Linked DNA regions of Tamandua tetradactyla. The protein of the gene in region 2 purifies or fractionates together with the protein of the main gene of each other region. This does not show direct contact. Links are inferred from orthologs where the notes say so. Each region holds a gene or a part of one and is shown on either strand. Other genes may lie near its edges.

What was found. Proteins that work in one complex are often made in the same cells at the same time.
Region 1: the proteins of WDR82 (region 2) and CXXC1 purify together in Homo sapiens (affinity purification with western blotting; 7 studies listed by BioGRID and IntAct, with this or other methods). This does not show direct contact. The link is inferred for Tamandua tetradactyla from reciprocal best matches to the Homo sapiens genes WDR82 and CXXC1.
Region 3: the proteins of WDR82 (region 2) and SETD1B purify together in Homo sapiens (affinity purification with western blotting; 4 studies listed by BioGRID, with this or other methods). This does not show direct contact. The link is inferred for Tamandua tetradactyla from reciprocal best matches to the Homo sapiens genes WDR82 and SETD1B.

What each region holds. Positions count from the first base shown.
Region 1 is NC_135344.1:32,372,787-32,380,472, reverse strand, and holds the start of CXXC1 (CXXC-type zinc finger protein 1), read right to left. Parts: upstream 3,029-7,686; 5' UTR 2,247-3,028; coding exon 2,244-2,246; intron 2,218-2,243; exon of another isoform or gene 2,101-2,217; intron 1,523-2,100; coding exon 1,404-1,522; intron 1,303-1,403; coding exon 1,202-1,302; intron 892-1,201; coding exon 656-891; intron 565-655; coding exon 388-564; intron 1-387. UniProt on the Homo sapiens protein: Transcriptional activator that exhibits a unique DNA binding specificity for CpG unmethylated motifs with a preference for CpGG.
Region 2 is NC_135341.1:33,592,599-33,599,646, forward strand, and holds the start of WDR82 (WD repeat-containing protein 82), read left to right. Parts: upstream 1-3,963; 5' UTR 3,964-4,276; coding exon 4,277-4,437; coding exon of another isoform or gene 4,438-4,465; intron 4,466-7,048. UniProt on the Homo sapiens protein: Regulatory component of the SET1/COMPASS complex implicated in the tethering of this complex to transcriptional start sites of active genes.
Region 3 is NC_135331.1:10,116,886-10,123,954, reverse strand, and holds the start of SETD1B (histone-lysine N-methyltransferase SETD1B), read left to right. Parts: upstream 1-4,041; 5' UTR 4,042-4,103; intron 4,104-4,254; exon of another isoform or gene 4,255-4,359; intron 4,360-4,571; exon of another isoform or gene 4,572-4,718; intron 4,719-4,832; 5' UTR 4,833-4,846; coding exon 4,847-5,020; intron 5,021-5,263; coding exon 5,264-5,362; intron 5,363-6,017; coding exon 6,018-6,288; intron 6,289-7,069. UniProt on the Homo sapiens protein: Histone methyltransferase that catalyzes methyl group transfer from S-adenosyl-L-methionine to the epsilon-amino group of 'Lys-4' of histone H3 (H3K4) via a non-processive mechanism.

The sequences.
Region 1 (7,686 bases), on a different chromosome or scaffold from region 2:
CCCCAGGTGGATAGGGGGTGGCCCCACCCTAGCCCCCTCCCACAAGTGCCTGTCCCACCCACCTAGCTCTGCCTTGCCTCCCCAGACATAACTGGTTCCAGCCCTCCCACCAAGACATGCTCAACCCTGTTCCAATTGCCCTGACAGTTCAAACACCTAGAAATACCTGGTCCCACCTACCCACTCAAACATACCCAAGACTGGGGGGAGGGGGGACCCTGCTACCAGCCCAGCACACCTGGTCATGCCACATCAATTTGGACATGCCAAGCTCCTTCTCACTTGCCTGGATACAAACAGACCCCACCCGACCTGGCCCACCCATTCTTAGCCTCCTGGAACACTGTCCCCATACCACTGACCCTGGCCAGCTCTGCCCATGCTCACCCGGGCCCGCAGTTGGCACTGGCGCAGCCGGCACTTCTGCCGGATCTTGTTGGGGCCACCAAATTTCTTCATGTCCCGGCAGAAGTCACAGTGGCCACAGTCCTCAGTACGCCGGCATGCCTCACACTCACCACACATGCGGGCTGACCGTTTGATCTGCTGCTGCTGCTGGTGATGCTGGTGGAAAATACCCAGAACAGGTATCAGGAACCCAGGCAGGACCTGAGATGGGACCACCTTACCCGTCTCAACCACCACAGCCACTCACCTGGCTGGGTGTGGCCACCAAGGGCTGTGGAGAGGCTTTGTGGGGCGAAGCAGAGCCCCGAGCAAGCATGGCCCCGACCCCTGTCCCAGACCCCGCCCGGCGCTGCAGATCTGGATCCGGGACAGGCCTCTTACGCCCTCCACCCTCATCCCGGGGCTCACTGCCATCACGCTCACTGCCGTCCCGTTCCCGAGACTTCTTGTGCCGATATCGGATCTCCAGCTTGGGGTCTTTCTCTGTGAGATGGAGGGCAGGGCTAAGACCAGTAGGCATTGGGAGGTTTGGATGGTCCCAGAACTCCTTCTTCTTTTTTCTTCTCTTTCCGTCCCACCCAATAGCTCTGTTATCCTGCTCCAAGGAAGACCTGCACTCCTCTGTGGGACCTTCTGTTATGGCTTTCAATGGAAACCCCACTCCAGTTCACCATAAACCCACAATCATTCTGCCCACATCATCACTATTCCCTGTGACACTCCCTCCCCCAACATTATGGTTCCCTCCTCCTCCCTGTAGCCCCACCTGCCTGTCCATCCCCACCCCCCTCACCTCGGCAGTCTCGACAGTACCACTCCCGGATGGCTTTGGCCATCTTTTCAGTGATCCGGATGCAGTCCCCATGGAACCACTCATTGCAATTGTCACATCCGCTGCAGAGGATGGAGTCGGTAATGGAGGTGTGAGGGTCCCACTCCACTGATCTCACCCAGCCTCCACAGGCATCAGCGCCACCCGCCTCTCCCTGGCTCACATCATGAAGCAGTTGATGTCTGGCTTACGGCAGATGCAGTAGATGGGGGCATTCTCCCCATTTTCTGACTTGCTGTCCTCACCAGCATCTGGAGGCTCAGGATCTGAACCATCTCCCTCCTGTGAGACCATTATGGCTCCTCAGAGAACCCCCATCATGGTGCCACATTCCCCCATCATGGCTCCATTATGGCTTAAGACAGGTCCCCATCCCTCTGCCCACAGACTTCCCATCACAGTTCTCCATAAATCTCTCCATCATGGTCCCCACAGACTTCCCCCATCACTCGTCCCCTGACAACCCCTTTCTCTGCTTATAAGTCCCCCATCACTCTGTCCCAGACCTCCCATCGCTTACTCCACTGACACCCTATCACTCTATCTACAGAACCTCATAAGGGCTCATTGCAAATACTTTATCACTTACCACACACACTCCCCATGGTGACTACCCACAGGCCCCCGTGATTGATCATCAAAAACATGACTTACCCCATAGATTCCCCCCCTCATGGTTTCCCACAGATCTTCCAGAGTCCCTGTCCCCATCACAGCTCCCCCTGACACAACTCACCACAAGACTTATCACGGTTCCTTACGGACCGCCAACAACTCATCACAAACTCCCCCACTACTCTTCTCATAGAACGCCCCTATCACGGTTCCCCACGGAATTACCCCCAGACATTCCTACTAACCTCCCATCAGCGAACCCCATCGTTCTGCCCACAGTCCACTGTTAATGGCTCACCCCAGACCCCCGTGCGTCTGCTGATGAACCTGACCATTACCAAGTTTACCAAACCCTACCGCCGAACACCTCAAAGGAACCCCTACTTACCATATCTCAGCTCCTGGTGTACACGCACGCGAACCTAGCCAACAACCTACGAATCTGCACAGAACACTCCACAGCGTCACCGGCCGTTGCAGACGCGCCCAAAACCACTTCCGCTTCTGGCCGCTCCTCCGACAACGTATTACTACTGCGCAGGCTCTGTGTGGTTGCTCTGGGGCAAACAAGTTAGCCGCCCGCTAAGAGCCCCTAATGTTTCTCTGGAGCCGCCATCTTTACTATCGAATCCGTACGGTCGCCGTGTCCCTACGTTCGCAATATTCATGACCGCGTATACATTTCTGTTTTTACGTAGGCGCCGCCACCTTGTCTGTAGTGTTCGTACGGCGGCCGCGGGTAGTACGTCAACGTTAGTAAGCAAGATGGCCGCACTTACTGCGCGACATCCTAGCAGATGCCGCCATCTTGACGTTTGATTCCGTAGTTTGGCCGAATCGTACGTTCTCAAGCAACATGGCGACGCCCAAGCGAGGCTTCCGCGAAGACCCGGCCATCTTGGCGGTTGGTGCCGTAGACGCGCGGTTCGGGTGGCAGAGCAGCTCACAGGTAAAGCGGCTCCTCCCGAAAGGTTATCAGGATCAAGCCTTTCATTAATTTCTCCATTCAATAACTTTTACCTTGCACATATATTCATAGGGAAGCTGCAGGCTGCGTGTCTGGCTCTGCGAAGGAAACCAGTCTTCCCTGTTATGTCTCTGACTTCACCTCCCACACTAACTTCCCCCTTTCACTCCTACTCCTTGCTGTTCATCAGACAAACTGTACGCGGTTCAGCCTCTGGACCCTTGAACTCTTTACGCTCTTATCTCATGAGCGTGCAGGAGTTCTCATCCCTCGGCTCAGGATCAGTCACGAGCAATGAAGAAAGACCACAAACAGTCGTGTCGGTGGACCCTGGTAAGAAATCACCTCAGCCGGAGTAGATTTTGAGATTTCAGACCCCACTAAATCCTCTTCCCGTCACCCCTAAAATGGAGATTTGCCGGGTTCCTGGTGATGTCCACTTTGATTCACTTGTTGCATTGGGATGTCCCGATATTCTCTCCCGTGGGTTTTTTTTTTCCTCATATAAATTATGTTCATTAATTTGTTGTTAAAAATTTTTGTTTTGTACAGGTCAGAGAACTAGAAGTCTACTCACCTGTGAAATGGGGATAAAGATCTAATCCGTGTGACCATGGAAAGTGACTGAGAGCTCTGTACGCAGGATTCTGGAGTCTCTATCCATCCCCCTTCAAACTTGGGAAGGACATGCTATGCCTTATTTCAGGTCGAAGGGATCGAGGGAATATAAATGTTTTGACCTTGGTTGACATTTTTCTGGATTTCGTGACTTTGGACATGAGTTACTACTGATAATCCATTCTGTGGCTCATGGATCAAGGGGTCAGATTTGTTTATTTTTCCCAAACATTCTTCCTCACATTTCCCTCCACACAGTCACAGATACCAAGGTACAGGGGCTACAACATGGGCTCTAGGACCTTCTCCTTGTAAAAGAAATTTTTATCCATAAAACAGTCCTACATCTACGGCATAAGACTTGCCTCATTTTTACTTTACTAATTAATTTTTAATTAATCTTAACTTGATTGTAATTTATTTTAATTAATATAACTTAATTTAACTTCTTAGATTTACTTTTTCATGTAATGGATTAAATATTGTAATATAATTCAGTTTTTATTCCTGTAATGTACTTGTTAATAAATTGTATATAATTTTAATTTAATTACCAGTTGATGTATCAAAATAAAATTAAGGGAATATAGTCAATGTTTAAATTTAATCTAATTTAACAATTTTATTTTTTTAATATTTTCATTAAGAAATCTTCACACACATACATTCCATGCATGGTGTACAATCAGTGACTCACAATATCATCACATAGTTATGTGTTCATCACCATGATCATTTTTTAGAACATTTGTATCACTGCAGGAAAAAAAAAAGAAAAAACTCATACATCCAATACACCTCGCATTGACCATTAGTATTTTCCATCTACCCAATTTATTTTACCCTTTGTCGCCCCTATTCTTTCTTCACTTTTTTATCCATATTTTTTTACTAGTCTGTCCATACCTTGGATAAAAGGAGCATCAGACACAAGGTTTTCACAATCACAGTTACATTGAAAAAATTAATATCTTTATACAATTGTCTTCCAGAATCAAGACTTCTGGAACAAAGCTCAACAGTTTCAGGTACTTCCCTCCAGCCACTCTAATACACCATAAACTAAAAAGGAATACCTATATAATGCAGAAGAATAACTTCCAGGATAACCTCTTGACTCTGTTTGAAATCTCTCAGTCATCGAACTTTATTTTGTCTCATTTCTCTCTTCCCCCTTTTGCTTTCTCAATCCCTTGATACTGAGTCCTGGCTCATTTGGGATTTCTGTCTCACATTGCTGGGGATATTTACATGCCTCAGAGTCATGTCCCATGTAGAAGGGAGGGCAGTGAGTTCACCTGCTGAGTTGGCTTAGAGAGAGAGAGAGGACACATCTAAGCAAAAAAAAGAGGGTCTCTGAACGTGATTCTTAAATGCCTAATTTTAAGTAGGATTTGCAGGAATAAAGTTTCCATAGGGGCAAACCCCAAGATGGAGAGCTTGGCCTATTGATTTGGTTGTCCCTACTGCTTGTGAGAATATCAGAGTCTCCAAATGAGGAAGTTGAATATTTCCTCCTTTCCACCCATTCCCCCAAGGGGACTTTGCAAATACTTCTTTATTCACAGCCCAAATTACTTTGGGATTGATTAAGTTTAATTTACTATATTTTATATTCATTTAATTATTAAATTTAATGACATGTATCATTTAATTTCAATTTGGCTTTATTTAATTTATCACATTTATATTTTAATTCAAATTCACCTAATCCAGTAAATTAAAATAAATTAATAAATATTAATTTCATGTAATTAATTAACTACATTTAAGTTCAATTAATGTATTTTTGAAGTGTAACTTTTAAATGTGATTTATTTTATTAAACAATGTGAAAAAATGACCCACAATAATAAGAAAGAAGCCATCAGTACAGGTCCAACAGATGCTAAACTGGAATGTTATTCACATATCTATGCAAACCTAATGCAATGTATTTGACTACATATGTAAAATGGGCAAATTTTTTGAAAAAGCTTAACAAAATTAACTCATGAAGAAATAGAAAATCTGATATGTCATGCAGAAGACCCAGGTTTGATTCCAGGCCCATGCACTCACCACCCCCATGCCCCTCCCAAAATTCAACAAAGGGTACTGCAATAACAGGATAGTCACATGGAAAAAGAATGAAATATGATCCCCACCATACAGTATACAAAAAATAAAAAACTCATCCAAAGAAAGAAGTGCATACAGCAGAGTCCAAGAGGGTTCCAAATGCAGAGCTTCTAGCTGTGCTGTCCTTGTGGAGCCATGGACAGTGTTAACAATATATGGAAATACAAATGGAATATTGTGAACAAGGGAAGCTCACTGAACTGTGGTGTTCAGAGTGTTTATTGGGCCTCAATCATGTAGGCATGATTCACTGCCCATGTTCCCCTTAGCAGGTCAAGTTAATACCATGTGACCCAAAGCCCTCAGCCCTAAATCATATTGTTGGACTTTTTGTTGGGCAGTCCTCACCCTAAGACCTCTTAGTGTCACCAGCCCTCATCTAAATTTCATAATTAGACTCCAGTAACAAAAGATCCCCAGGAAGACAATGACACTCCTTTCAGGCATGACATTCCAAGGGTTTTGAGTTCACCTCCCGGAAGCTGCGGGCAAAAGCCAGAATACGTTTTGAGCAAAGTTATATTCTTTACCCAACTGCAAGATGTTAACAAAATATTAGCAAATTGAAACCAATAATTTATAAAAAGGTTAATACACCATGACCAAGGTGGGGCTTTATCCCAGGAATTTAAGGTTGGTTTTAATATTTAATATTTTGTAGGGAAATACACCATGGCAACCCAATGACCTTACACAACTCTACAAAAGTAGATAAAGCCAAATAGATAAAGCTTAATTGCAATCTCACCAAGTCTTGATGGAATCCCCTGAGTTCCTTCTAGAGCAAAGGGAGACAAGGCCATTTCTCATTCACCTACACAGTAGTAGCTGAGTATGGAACTTTCTACCTTGCCTCCTCTGTGGGTATAGCTGCAGGCTCTAAAAGCACCTGGCTGCAGTCTAGAGTTGGCTTTTTAGCAACAGAGTGACCCACCACCTGGGCTCCCCATCATCTGTCACCTCCAAATCAATGTTGTGAATGAGACTAGGAATGAAGAAAACTGACACCATGCTGATCTTGCTTTTGCTGTGTGGCAAGCTGTTGGAATGTGTAGGGGCTCGTTGTCACCTAACCAACTGAATCTATGGAAGGGTGGTAATCAACCTACTAGCGGTAGTAATGATACTTGCACTTTATTAGCCTCCACACTAGTGTTGAAGGATTACTTGTCCAATTGACAATTTGGAGCAGTGAACAGACCCAGTAAAGACACAGTGCCTTTTTGGAGGAATGCAAAGGGCCCATTCGGGTGAAGTAGGAAATATAAAAAGACTCCTTGAAATCTGCTGGCAGATGCTCTTGCCTAAGTGGCAGATGGGCGGGGAATAAGGGTTTCCCATTGTACAACCTGTAAATGAAGGCTTACAGGCTGCATAGCAAGTGTAGGATTGAAACATGCTACCTGAATGGTGTTTTATGGTCTATAAAAGTTTTACTTACTTTTTTTTTTTCAGAAGCTTAAAAACTCCAGATTATTCCTATACCAGATAAGCCCTCAAACCCAGAGGTACCAGTCTCTACAAGTACATTAATTGGACTGCTCTATCCCAAAATGTTGTCACCCCCTTTCAGCATACAGAATTTAGAATGGTCATTGCCCAAATACCCCTGAAGAGTGAACGGTTGATCAAATGAGTGGGAGGGGTTGTAACAGAGAAGTTAAGATTTAACAAATGATTATCACTACTATCATTATATAGATATTTCTTTTTAGTTTCTGGTATATTGGGATAGCCAGAAGGGAATACCTGAAATTTTTGAGCTGCAATCCAGTAGCCCTGATCTTTGATAACGATTGTATAATTATATAGCTTTTATCTTGTGATGATGCAATTGTAAAAACTTTGTGATTGGTTCTGCCTCAAGCCAGTGTATGATTAGATAAGTGTGCCAGTTTGAAAGTATTATGAACCCCAGAAAAGCCACGTTTTAATCCTGATTCCATCTTGTGGAGATAGCCATTTCTTTTAATCCTGATTCAATAATGTAGGTTGGAATCTTTTGATTACATTACCTCCATGGAGGTGTGACTTTTGATTATATGGAGATATGACGCCACCCATTCCAGATGGGTCTCGATAGTTTATTGGAATCCTTTAAAAGAGGAAACATTTTGGAGAAATG
Region 2 (7,048 bases):
GTACCCCACGGGGCATTCCAAGTCAGAAATCTATCTCCAAGAATTGGTATTCATAAGGAACTCTCTGTTCTGGAGAGAAGATAAATTTCTTAGGACTGGCTCCAATTAAACTCGGTAATATGAAAAGCAGAAATGTAATAAATGGGCCAATAATATATCTGGAATCCTAAATTCACTTATTCAATTAACAATATATATTGAACCAGACCCTGGCTGGGCTCTAAATAAAATGGGAAGCAAAATTACTTTACAACCACATGCTGGAATACTATATAGCCATATATAGTGTAACTCTATATTTACTGTCCTGGAAGATGTTCCTATGAAAGAGTAGATTATAACTAATATCATATTAAGAACCCATTAAGAATAGATTTCAGGAGAAAAAGTTCTACATCAAAATGTTACAGTGGCCATCTCTAGATGTTTTTATTATTATTATTACTTACTTGCATTTTTAAGTTTTTCTTCAATTCATATGCATTTACTTGCATGAAAACAGTAAATGAATGAAACAATGCTTTAAAAAAAAAAGGAAAAGTAAAAATTAAGTCTGATACTCTTTGAGACATTCTGATTTACTTCTGGCTGCAGCTTCCCCCTCTGAACATCCTCCACTGGAGCCAGCTTTTCTGGGTCACTTTTTAAAGTCCAGCCTTTCAGGCAGCAATGTTGGTGGACTGGAAGTCTGGAACAGCTGGGCTATAGTAGGCAGGGAGCTGGGCTACGAATATGAAATAGTATCTGAATTAGTCTCCAGGCTGTGACCCATAGCAGAACACTCATAAAATATGAAAAAATGACTTTTTGCATTCCAAAAATAATGCAGGATGCCAAATCTTAGGAGACAGCTTTGGTCTTAACAGTGAAATCTGGAAAAGGTACAGTGAATACAAACTTGAAAGATATGCTGCAAAGATTTATTTTGGCTGAGAACATTGAGTAGGTTTCGGCTGTTTTTGTGGCTATATTCTTTGTAGGTTAACATGAGCCAAAATATGGCATCTTACTGAGTATATTACTTACCAACAGTTCCTGGACGTGGCACCAAATCTGTCTTATTGCTATCTAAGGATTCAAAGAAGGCTCTATATCAGCCTTTCTAGCCTGTAGATAAAGATGCAGGATTTTGCAGTGAAGTGAGTGAGCGAGTGCTCTGGGGCACCGAGAGCTTTTCTCCCATTGCTTTGCAGTTTGGAAAGTTGCCATCCATTCAGGTTTCCTTCAAACAGGCTTTTTCCTGACCCCAGAGCAAATTGTAACCAGAAGCTCTCTGCTCTTTGTCAGGAGGCAATTGCAGCCCAGACCTAGGCAGGATCTTACCCTCTCCCCTCAAAAAAAGATTTCTCCTAAGTAAAAATCCTGGCTCCTCTTTTACCCAGGAGATGAGACCCTAGTTCTTTCCAGAAAGGGCCCAACTGTCTCAGGCTTTCTGTTGTTTTTACTGTTGTCCGGGTTACATCTGGGTCTCTGGATATCAAATCTTCCTGATGTCAGCGACTAAAAGGACTCAACAGTCTTCCTTCTTTGTTTCTCTTCCTGTTTAATCACTGCAAGTTTACTAAAGCAAAATAAATAGGATCCACTACCATTGTCCAATTAACTATTTGTGAAGCAACAAGAGTTAGAGATCCTAGAATCTGTAATCGAGAAATTAGGATTTAAGGGATGATTTTTTTCAGTTTTTTAAAATTAATTTTTAAATTAAAAAAATACAAAAAAACACATTCTTAATTTATGATCATTCCGTTCTACATATATAATCAGTGATTCACAATATCAGCACATAGTTGCATATTCATCATCATGATCATTTCTTAGAACATTTACATCAATTCAGAAAAAGAAATAAAAAGACAACAGAAAAAATTCATACATACCATACCCCTTACCACTCCCTTTCATTGATCACAAACATTTCAATCTAAATTTATTTTAACATTTGTTCCCTCTATTATTTATTTTTATTCCATATGTTTTACTCATCTGTTGATAAGGTAGATAAAAGGAGCATCAGACACAAGGTTTTCACATCACAGTCACATTGTGAAAGCTATATCATTATACAATCATCTTCAAGAAACATGGCTACTGGAACACAGCTCTACATTTTCAGGCACTTCCCTCCAGCCTCTCCATTACATCTCGACTAACAAGGTGTTATCTATTTAATGCGTAAGAATAACCTCCAGGATAAAGTTGGGGAAGTTGAATTTTCCTTAAGGGATGATTTTGATTATTGAGTCATTATATAGATATTCCTTTTTGCTTTCTGGAATATTGGAGTAGAGAGGAATGCTTGAAATCCCTATACTATAATTCGGCTGCCCTGATACCTGAAATGATTGCAAAGGCCCTTATTTTGTGCCTTTGTGACTGTAAGAGCTGTTATCCCCTTATCTGCTCATTTTCTTGTAAGGAAAAAGCCCTAAGACTAATGAAAAATTTGAAGTCAGCCATTAACTACTTTCAGCGTCTGACATCTGTAAATAGTATCAGTTAGACTCTGCTATTGAAAGATAACTTGTCTCCCTTCCCTTTGGCTTACACCTTTAGTAGTGACATGATAGTTCAGCCTTCCTTCCTTTCAGCTGTTTTTTTTGAAATTGTAATGACCTCAGCTCCCCTTACTAAAATTCTTAAAAATTTTGAACCCCCTAAAATTGGGGAGACAGATTTCGGGCCGCTAGACCATCTGTTCTCCTACTACACACCTAGTTATAAACTCTCTCTCTTGAAACCTGGTGTGTCAAGAATTGATTATTGAGTGCGTAAGGCAACAGAATCCACAGCCTTTATCCAGTAACAAACTTGTAGTGATTGCACAGAGTTTAATCCCTTGAAGAAAATTAAAGCCAGAAAGCATGGTTCCTATTTTGTGATCCTTTACTAGAGATCAACTTTCCTTCCTTTTACAGCAAAAAATACCTTTTACAATATTGCCCTTAAAACAATCCCATTGACTACAAAGCTGGTAATGGAACTGTTGTATATCTTTAATATGGTGGTGGTTGGGAGACTTTTTGTGGGTGTCGAAATTCATAAAACTATCCAGTGTAAAGGAGAAATTTTTACTGAATCTAAATTACACTTCAATAAAAAACACCAAAACAATCCGATTTAGTAACGCAGGTAAATGAGTAAGATACACTACTATAGCAGGACAAAAATGGTTACTTCTATGTTTACGTGTATATATGCATAAGGCGAGCAAGGAGTCAGGAGAATTTAAAACTGCATTTTGTTGATTCAGGAGATAATTGTTCCTTTAAAATTTTTATTTGTAACTGACGCTATGCATTTTAGAATGTACGTTTTAAAGCTTAAATATAGGAGCTTTTACATTTATAAAACTGTATGGAGCTACACTTAAGATTAGTTCATTTCTTCTTGTTAAACTGTACTTGAAATTTATTACTTTTCTGTATATATGTTATATTTCACAATAAAAATGTAAAAAAAAAGATTAGCTCACTTCAACTCTTTTCATTATAACTCAATAAAAAGTTTTTTTAAAAAGCTTTGAAAAAGTTCTAGGTGGTGGTCAGAGAGTATAATCAAATGAAAAAAATCATCCACTTAAAATGTGGGCAGTTCACCTTACCTTATATCTCAATTAATAAAAAAGAAATTGAAATTCTTCGCTGGCGGCGGCGTCTTGGGCGAGCAGTCAGGCCCGCCCGCTATCTGCTCATCTGAAAACACCCCCAAAACTGATCTCCAGGGCAGCACCTGACACTAGCAGTGCTCAGCTTCCTCGTGGTCGGCGGTCAAGATGCCAGCAGGGGGCCCCCGAGTTTCTCGGGATATCTCAAAGCCCGGCACAAAATCCCTCGGCTGTCCCTTTGGTCCAGCAACTCACCGGGACACAGCAGCCACAGGCCGCCCAGTAGCTCCACTCCCAGGAGGCCACCCTGACGTCATCGCCCCGCCTCCCGGCCTTTCCCGCCCCACCCTCTTTCCCGGCGTGCACCACGGCAGAGGCTCCTCGCCTTCGGCTTCTGCCTGTCGTCCCAAGATGGTGGACACAATGAGCAGGACTCGCGCCGGTTGGCCCTAAGGCGACCGGGAGAAGAAACCGTCTGCACGTCCCCGCAGTCCGGGCAGGAGAGTACTGCACGAGTAGAAAGAGAAGGCGGCTTGACTGTCGCCTGTCCTCTCGTTCGTCGCAGGCGCGGCGCCCGCTCCGCCCAGGTTGGCCCCTCGGCAGCCCGCCCGCCAGCTCGCCGCTGGGCCCCGCCCCAGCCCTGCGCCGCCGCCTCCAGCAGCCGCCGCCATGAAACTGACCGACAGCGTGCTGCGGAGCTTCCGCGTCGCCAAGGTGTTCCGCGAGAACTCGGACAAGATTAACTGCTTCGACTTCAGCCCTAACGGCGAGACGGTCATTTCGAGCAGCGACGACGACTCCATCGTGCTCTATGACTGCCAGGAGGGCAAGTGAGTGCGGCGCTGGCCCTGGGCCCAGGTTTGAGTCCCTCCAGTGGCCCGGCTCTCGCCCTGCGGCCTTCCCTCCTCCTCGACTTCGGCTCTTGGCCTATTTTGCACTCGCTGCTTACAGGGGCGCCTGCAACGTGCAGCCGTCCGGGAGACCTTTCCTTTTCCTTCGTCTTTATTATTATTGTTGTTGTCAGTGTTATTTTGTCTGTTTTCGGTCTCCTTTTAGAGCACTTCTGCATCTTTTACCGAACCCCACCTTGACCTTGACCTTTAAAACGCCCCATCCCGCCCCCAGCAGGTAGAGTTTTCCGCTACCCTGGTACTGTCGATGGTGCCCATTGGCTCTGGCCCAGACACTGAACCTCAAAGAACTACTCCAGCTTTATTCTAGAGCATCACCTCTCTCTGCCCTCTTCTCGGTGACCTCGATCCAGCCCCGGTAGTCCACCCATTCTCTGCCTCTCAGCTTCCATCGGCCTTTCTACCATAAGGCCGCGTGGGTGCAGTTTCTTAGCTGTCAGGATTTCATTTTGTAGTGCCTCTTTGGGCCCCGGTCCTTCCCTTCCACTTCCAAGCCATTCTGTTACTCCCTCGGACCCGGTGTCCACGCTTATACTGAACTTTTTAACATCTGAAACTTTTTCTTCCTTTCCTGTTATTTCTTTTTGCCATAACACCAGCGAACTTGGCCGTCCCATCCCAATCTGAATGTGAGCCTCCCGTTAGAACAAAGAAAGCATCGTATAACAGTTTCGTGTTTCCTCTCCCACTTTTTTTCGATTACACTTCGTGGTCCACATAGAATGATCAAAATTACTAGTCTGATCTTGCAACTTTTATGCTGCCCCAGATCCTCGGGCGACCCACCACACCTGCATCTCTTGCAAAATCTTAATAAGCACAGCACTTTGCATTCTTCCCTGGGGCACCTTTTCAGCCTGGCTTCATTCCTGTATCCTTGGCTTTCTCCAGATCTTACTGACTTGTGAGCTCCTTTGGAGCCTTAAGCTAAATTTTTGAGTTTCCCTCAGCCATCTTCCCCAAGCAGACTTACTTTTAAGTCGGTGGTTACTGGTTTTGTCAGACCTTGTTTTGTTATCTGGATCCAGATATTTCTTGAATCTTTGGATTTTTCTCTTTTCCAGGTGTTCCTTTTGCCTCTTTCTTTTTTAAACAGATATCCCTAAACTTTTCTTTTGGAACTTGTTTCTTCATTTCTCAATTTGATTATTTAAAGTAGTGCGGTTTTGGTCTACCTAATTTTTTTCCCACTGGTCCTTGTGAGAAAGTATTTTGTAATTGGTTCTGGATCTGCCTGCAGTGTATGGAAGAGTGCCTGCGGTGGTGATCCTGAGGGAGAGGGAATTGTTACCTGGACCATACTAAGTTATTTGAGTCAGTGTTACTCATTTAGTAGATGGATTTCTGTGCAGGCCTGACCATTAGAAGTCAGCTTGAAAGAGGGAGTTTCAAGCTGGGGTTGGGGTTGGGATTCTAGAGTCTGGAACTAGAAGTAATTTGAAGCTGGCTTGCCTGAAATGTTAATTGCTTGTACACAGATTAGAACCTCTCCCTGGTACCTGAGGATGGAGGTGTATTCTGATTCAAAGGTAATGAAGGCTGTAGTAGAATTTAGTTGGTCTCCGAATGTGGTAAAATTTCGAATTGTTGGGAGGGATGACAATGGCATGAAGTTCTGTCTTGTTAAAAGTAAAATGCCAACTTTATGACAATGCAATATATTCCCTCCTAGCATTTTTACATAATTACAAACTTAAAGAAAAGTTACAACATTGATCAGAGACCTCCCATTTGATCTACCAGTTGGTTACATTTGTTCCATTTGCTTTATCACTCTATGTAAATATTTGTTTGTATGCATATTTTTTCCTGGGCTATTAGAGAGTAAATTGAAGTTATCAGGCCCTTTTATCCTTAAACACTTCACCATGGATGGCCTCAGCACCAGGACCTTGTCTTACAGAGCTGGAGCACAGTTACCTAAATTAAGAAATGTAGTGTTGATACAGTACTATAGGCATGCTTTTGAAAATTTTCTCCCATCAAGCAATTGTGGCCTTGTTTCATTATACTCTGTGGCATCAGAAACCTGGTAGTTAGGAAACTTGGGTTCTAGTTTGGCCTTATGACCAGCCATGTAATGTTGGTGAAGTCAATATCAGACAACCATTGCTTCCAAGGTCTCTTTAGTCTCTAGGAATTCATGATCCTAAGAGGTAATGTGAAGAAAATTTTTGCCACTAGTGTAGGTTAAATCAACATTGGATGAAAAGTAATGTTTCTTGGGAAGGCATAGTATCTTTATTAGGTAGTACTAGTGTTAGAATTTGGGAGTTTGAAAATGGCTAAAATCAGATTCTTTGTGCTTAATATTTTCCAGTTTAATGTTCATTTAATCTTTGTTTACAGTGGAGTTCATCCATTGAGTAATTTTTCCAACTTCAAAGAATATAAAGGATATTGTTTGTGGTAGGTAGTACAAATTATTTAAAGAGAAGGCTTTTATATTATTGCCTTATACCTGATTACCAGAATCATAGTTTGAGGTTAGGAGTTTACCCTTAAAAATTGTGAAAAAATGTGCATGGGC
Region 3 (7,069 bases), on a different chromosome or scaffold from region 2:
CAAGCAGCAGGCGGCGACTCATCTGCATTTCCAAAGACCCGCCCTGTCCGCATCCCCTCCCCCAGAAAGGGCCGGAGATCTAAGGGTTTACCCCAGAGCCCTCCGCCTGGGGGGGGATCCCGGGGAAGGCCCGCTCAGCTTTCCCAAGCCCCAACCCCCACCTCCAGCCTAGAGGGCCGGGTTGGTGAGATGGCCCCAGGGCGTCTGCGGCCACCGCAGGGGCCTCAAGCTCAAAGTGAGAACCAAGCAGGAGAACTGACCCCGCCGGCTAGGCTTATCAGGGGGCGACAGGGTGCCAGGGCATGGGCGCGAAGCCCGAATAGGCAGACGCGGGTTGGGAGAGGGAGGGCTGCGGCCAGAGCAGGGCCGCGGGGGAGGCTCCTAGGCCTCCGGAGAAGCCGGTAAGGGTCAGGGGGCGGCTGCGAGGCCCCGAGCGGCCCCGTGGCCCTTTGCTACTGGTTCCCGCGCCGGAGGGAGGAGGGAAAGCCGCCGGGGCCTGGCCTGGGGAGGAAGCCTCCTCGTGCCCGCCTTGGGGCCTCCGAGTCGGGGTGGGGGGTGGGCTGCCAGGAGACTGGGGGCGTCCGTCGTCGAAGCTGGGCCCCCCTCCGCCGGGAGCGCGGGGCTCTGCGGCCTCCCCGGGCCCCGGGCGTCCACGCGCTCTGCCTCCCCCCTCCCCCCGGGCCGCGGCCGCCTCCTCCCGCCTGGCGCGCAGCGGCCGCCACCGCCCGAACTGCGGGCGGCGCGCGAAATGGCGCCCGTCTGGCCGCCTAGCCCCGCGGAGGCGAACGCAGGAGCCGCCTCACGACGCCCCGGAGGCCCGCGCCCCCCGAAACGACCCCCGCGACGCTCCCGGGCCCGAACTCCGGCGCCTGCGGGCTCTCGGGGTTCGGCCGGGCCAAGGACGCGCCTCCTGCCCCGGGCTCCCAACGACGACCAGGGAAGGAGAGAGGAAGGAAGACGAGAGCTGGCCGCCATTAGCCGCTCGCAACCCTGCCCAGCCGGGCCCGCCCGCCCGCCTCAGCCCCAGCCCCAGCCCCAGCCCGCGGCCCTGCTCGAAACCTGAAAATAAAACTGGTGTTGGGGAGGGAGGAGCGAGCGCGGCCGGGAGAACAGGCTGCGCTGGGGCAGCAGGCGGGAGAGATGCTGCGTCATGCTGCCAACATGGACGCCGGCCTTTTGTCCTGTTTTTGGTTAGGAAGCCCAGGCGCGCCCGGAGCCCCGAAAAGCGGGCTTCGGAGGGCGAGACCCCCACAACCAAAAGAAAGAGGCCCCTAGGCTGGGCGGGCAGGTTTCCTCGTCTTTTGAGCTTACCCCCCCAACCCCCAATCTCCAAGAACTTCAATTTTTCTCTCCCCCACCAAGACTCAAATCTGGGACGAGAGAGGTGGATGCCCCGAGGGTCGCGGGGGAGACCCTCTTCTCGCCTCCGGGCCAAAAGGGGAAAGGGGTCTGCACAGCCCTCCTCACGACACACACCCCCTCCCACGCGCCGGCTGCCAAACCCATAAAGCTCCAGAAACCGTCTCCCCTCAGCTCCCAAACAGTTGTAGCCCGTGGCCTGTTCGACAAAAGGATTTCCTCGAAGTGGCAAAAGGCACTGGGGTTTTCTGTTGTTGCTGTCGTTTGTTCTTTTACTTACCCGCGCAGCCCGGTGCCATGGAGTCTGGAAGATCAACCTGGGCGGTGGTTTTGGAGGTGTTATTGTAAAAAAATATATATCTGGCTTTTTTTCTGGGTTTAGTTGGGAAAACTTGGGGGAACTGGTGGTGTCTTTTTTTGTTGTTACCTTTTAGTAAGTTACACTCTCATGCATTTTCTGCTCCTTCCACTTCTGCAAACTTTCCAGGGTTAGGTTGGCAAAAGGCGGCTTCGCTGAGGACTGTTTACTGCTCTGGATATAGCAATGGTGTGCTCATCATTAAGAGACAAAAGGCGAAAATACACAGTCAAATCAAACAAAAGGTAAAAGACGCACCAGCCAGCCCAACCACCCTAGAAAATACCCCCGAGTTAACGCTGGTATTTGGCTGGAACCAGCTAGGACTTGTTTTCCAGTTTTAATCTAGTTTCCTGTGACGGCTTTAGTCTCTCTACACAAAGAGAAGGTCTTCCTTTCCTTCGCCGCCCCCCCTCCCCCAAAGACGAGAAAAACAGAGCTGTTTTTCTTCAAAAAGATCGATTTTCAAAGAAAGTGTACATGTTAATGGGAAGAAAGCTGACTAGCACGTATTGTTGTAAACATTTTCCAAAGCTCAAAGCCAAAACCTTAGCTTCATCAAAGCAAAATCGTCTAAAAGCATTTTAACTGGCTTATATTAGACATGAAACAAAGACAGACATGCAGATGAAGTTTCAGAAATTAAGGACATCTCAGCAACATTAACATGAAAACTGCACTGCGTAAGGACAGAATGGATTGGGTACTTACAATGTAAAAGGTTTTTAAAAAACTTAAAAAAAGAGTAACGACTGCTCACAATTTTTTTGTTGCTGCCATTTCACTAATCCTAAAACTATACATTTAAAACATTACCTTGTTAAAAAAAAAAAAAGAAAAGAGAGCAGAAGGAGTTAATAAGATGGCCAGTTTTAAGTGTTTAATAGAGGAAACTACGTATTTAAAAATTTATTGTTCAGTCAAGAGAATACAGATTAAGACAGCTCCAAGCTCCCCCCACCCCCACCCAAGAAAAAAAAAGAGGAAAAAAATTAAATATGTCATTTACTTAGGTTTTTTGGAATTCAAGATTGTTAACTGCTGAACATTAGTGGTGTGCTATGACCTAGTTATACAAGACAAAGATGGATTCCAAGTCATAAGGAAAAATCCAGATCTTTTTAAAAAGTCTTCTTCATCCTTCCAAGTGTGAGTCCTTTAGCTTGTTGACAAATGTTAAAACACCACATTGAGGCGTCCTGAACTGGATGGTGGAGTCAAAGGAGAAGCATTCCCCATTTGCAACAAAGGAAAAACCCACTTGGCCATTTAATTCCATTGCAGAAAAATGGCTCCCTCATCTTGTTGGCCTCTCCTTGGTGTCTGATGAAGGATGTTTTGAGATCAGCGTCTAATAACTCAAGCCCTATAGAAGCCGCGCGCTGATTGGCTGCCGCGCCCTGCCGCCCTGCTCCAGCCAATTACCTACCCACGGCCAAATTACAAACCCCGAAAAGAGCCCCAATATGCGATCCGCCACCGCGAAGCCCCGGTGAGGCGGCTCCTTCCCCCCGGCCGCCCGAGAGGAGCGGCAGAGGGGGCTGCAGACGCGTCCTCGCGAAGCCCGGGAGCCTCGGAGTTGAACTCACAAAATGGAAGCCGCGCGCTGATTGGCCGCCGCCACTCCCGGCCCTTTAATAAAGAAAGGGGGAAGGCAAAGACAAATGCAGAGAAGGGGGACGCTTCTTCGCCTCTGGAGGGAGAAGTGGGGTGGGGGGTGGGGGAAGCATGTGTTCGGGACAATTACAGGGCGCTCTCCTCCAAAAATAAAAACACAGACGCTCCTATCACCCAGGTCCAGGCGAGGGCTGCATCCTCCCGGGAAGGGGAATGCTAATCTGGCTGGAATCCGGGCTTCCCCCTCCCCAGCCCCAGCCCCGCTCCTGAGGGAGGGGTCGCGGGGCCCAGGAGGCGGCCGGAGCGGAGATCCTCGATTGCAAACTCGCCTCGAGTCGACGTCGGCCTCCACCCCACCAACCCCCCCCTCCGCCCCACGGCTCCAAACAATCACCCACACACACACACACACCCAGCCCCGGCCCCCGAGTCCACGCGCACCCGCCGCCGGCCCCGGCAGTTTAGAAACAGTTTTGGAGGCCCGAGATGCACGCCGCGGCCCCGACGGCCGCCCGGGCCACGGGAGGCTCAGCCCGCGGAGACCCCCCTCCCCCGCAGCCGAGCCCCCCACCTAAGTCCCAGCAGAATAAATAAATTAAAAGGCCTTCCCCCCGGGGAGGGGGGAGGCAGTGTGGGAGCGCGCGAGTGAGGGGTGGGGGGCCGCCGGGGCCCGGGGCTTTGGCGGCGCAGCTGCCGCCGCCGGGAGAGTGCCTGGGGAAGCGGCGAGGAAGGCGAGGGGAGGAGGAAGAGGAGGAGGAAGAGGAGGAGGGTGAGCGCTCGGGTCGGGCTCCTTAGCGGTGTATTGTGGGATGTGCGGCTACTGGGAGCCGAGCCTCCGCCGCCAGCCGCCTCCCGGGCAGCAGCAGCAGCAGCAGCGGCGGCGGCGGCATCAGCTCCGGCCCCGGCAGCCGCGGCGGCGGCGTCCCCCCCACCCCGGCCCCCCGTCCGGCCGCCCCGGCCTCGGCTCCCGCGGGGGACACCATGTACTGGCTGGCGGCGCAGGGAGGCCGGCGCCCGGCGGGGATGTAAGCGCGGCTCCGGGAGGGGGAGGCCGCGGGCGGCAGCCGGGCGGCGCGAGCCCCCAGCCCCGGCCCGAGCGGGCGGCGCCAGGCCTGCCGCGAGCCCCGCGCCCGAGCCGGGCCCGAGCGAGCGAGCGAGCGCGCGCCACGCCGGGCGGCCGGGCGGGCACCATGGGCCGGAGCCCGCGTCCTCCGGGCGCCCCGGGCCGCGCCGGCTCGCTCGGGGGGCCCCCGGGACCCCCTCGCTGCCGACCGGAGACGGTGGCCGAGCGGGCGGGCGCTTAATCCTCCCGGAAGGTTGAGTCTGTCTCTTCATCCTTCTTTTGGGGGGGCGCAAGCGAGATAGCGCCTTTTGGGGCGCGCTGGTAAGGTGGGAGGGGGTGGGGGCTCGGGGGGCTGGTGATTTCGCGTGTGTGTGTAAGAAGCGGCCGCCGCCGCCGCCGCCACGGCGGAGACGACAACAACTTGCTGGTTTTCAGGTTGGGTTAACGGCATGGAGAACAGTCACCCCCCCCACCACCACCACCAGCAGCCCCCGTCGCAGCCCGGCCCCTCGGGCGAGAGAAGGAACCACCATTGGAGAAGTTACAAGTTGATGATTGACCCGGCTCTGAAAAAGGGGCACCATAAACTGTACCGCTACGATGGGCAGCATTTCAGCTTGGCGGTGAGTGTCCGGCGCGCCTCCCCGCCCCCCCCCACCCCCCACTCCGCAGCCATGGGGACAGAGGGGCCCCCGAGCCACCCGGGGAACCCCTCCCGACCACGGGGCCAACTGTCAGCCGGGTCCCGGGTCCCGGAGTTTGACAAGTGCCAGGAGAAGGGGGGGGTCTGCCCCCTGCCCCTGGGGAGGGGACCAGCCCTCCCATTCCCCACCCCCCACCCCTGTCCCCCGCTTCCTTCCCCACAGATGTCCAGCAACCGCCCAGTGGAAATTGTCGAAGATCCCCGGGTCGTCGGGATCTGGACCAAAAACAAGGAGCTGGAGCTGTCGGTGCCCAAATTCAAGGTAGGACCCCTCCCCTTTGCCCCCTGGCCTCTCCCCTCCTTCCCCCCCCCACCGCTCTTCCCCCCCCCCCCCCCCCCCGAGTTCGAAAATAACGCCAGTCCTGACCCAGCCCAGCCGGATTCGGAGTTCCCGCTGTCCCGGGCAGGGGAGGTTTTGGCGGGGAAGGGGAGGTGGCTGCCCAGAGCGGTGTCCCCTCCGGGATACTGTAAACAGAATAGCACTCGGGGAAACTGTAACGAGGGCGCTGATACAGTGTCCCGCCCGGCCGGGGGGCTCCGGGTCCCCACCTGGCTCCCGCCAGCCCTGGGACTCAGCCCAGGGACCCGCCCCCCTTCCCGGCCCAGAGACTCTCAGAGGTCAACTTCCCAACCCAGGGGGTCGCCCCTGACCCGGGTCGGGGAGAGGAGGCCAGAATGGGGGGGTGGGGAAAGAGAAACTGTTTCTTTTTCCCCTTTCCTTCCGAACCCTGAGGACTTCCACGTTCCAAACGATTTAATGCTTTGCTTCCCGGGCCCGCCCGCGTGCATTTTTTTTTTTAAGAAAAAAATTTATTTTTTACCCTTCATTGTTTTCAACGAGCGGGCGAGTGGGAAATGTTGTGTTTTCCTTTCGGTTCCAATATTCTCCGACTCCCTACCCCCTCATCCCCTCCCAGATCGATGAGTTCTACGTGGGCCCGGTGCCTCCGAAGCAGGTGACATTTGCCAAGCTGAATGATAACATCCGAGAAAACTTCCTGAGGGACATGTGCAAAAAGTATGGGGAGGTGGAGGAGGTGGAGATTTTGTACAACCCCAAGACCAAGAAGCATTTGGGCATTGCCAAGGTGGTCTTTGCCACGGTCAGGGGCGCCAAGGAGGCCGTTCAACACTTGCACAGCACTTCTGTCATGGGCAACATCATCCACGTGGAGCTGGACACGAAAGGTGAGTGGAGGCCGGTGAGTGGAGGCCGGCTTGGGCCTGCCCATGGGGAGGAGCCACCGGGAGTCCTGTTGCAGTGGCCCCTGTGCCTCATGGGGCCCTGGGTCTGTACCGTGCCCCCACTGTGGCCCTTTTTATTTTTTTTGCACCCCTCCCCTCCCCCCAGGGTAGAGTCACGTGTTGCTAAATGTGTTGTCTGTTGCTAGGAGACAGGCTATAATTTACCAAATGTGCCGGGCCTTGGCCGCTGTGCCCCTGGGGACCATCCGGAGGCATCCCCACTGCGGGCACCCCGGCGGGCCCTCCCGGAGCCCTGGTGGCTTCAGTTTAGACAGTCCCCAGCGTTGCTGCCTGTGTTAGGGGAGGAGGCAGAGTTTGTTTATTTGTGGGGGGACTGAGGGAGGCCACGAGGGTGCCTTCAAATGAATAGAAAAGCCCTCAACTAAAAAGAGAGCCCTCTGAGGACTCAGGGTGTCCCCCCACCCCCACCCCAAGCTGTAGGAACCAATCTGGGCCAGGAGTGTCTTTTCATTGATAAGGTTTCCAGCCATGCGGGGCGGGCAGCTCTGGGTGCTCGGGGCTGACATTGTGTCTTCCCTCCTCTTTCTTAAAGAGACAGCAGCACCTCCCCTGCCCTGGAACCTGGCTCTGCTCTCCTTGACTGGCTGAGGCAGGCTGCTGGGAAAGCCAGGCTGAGGAGGCATACCCCTACCCCCAGGGTCCCCGGAGACTCTTCCTGGGTGCTGGTTAGAGGGGCTCAAAGGACTCTAGAACATCCCCTGAA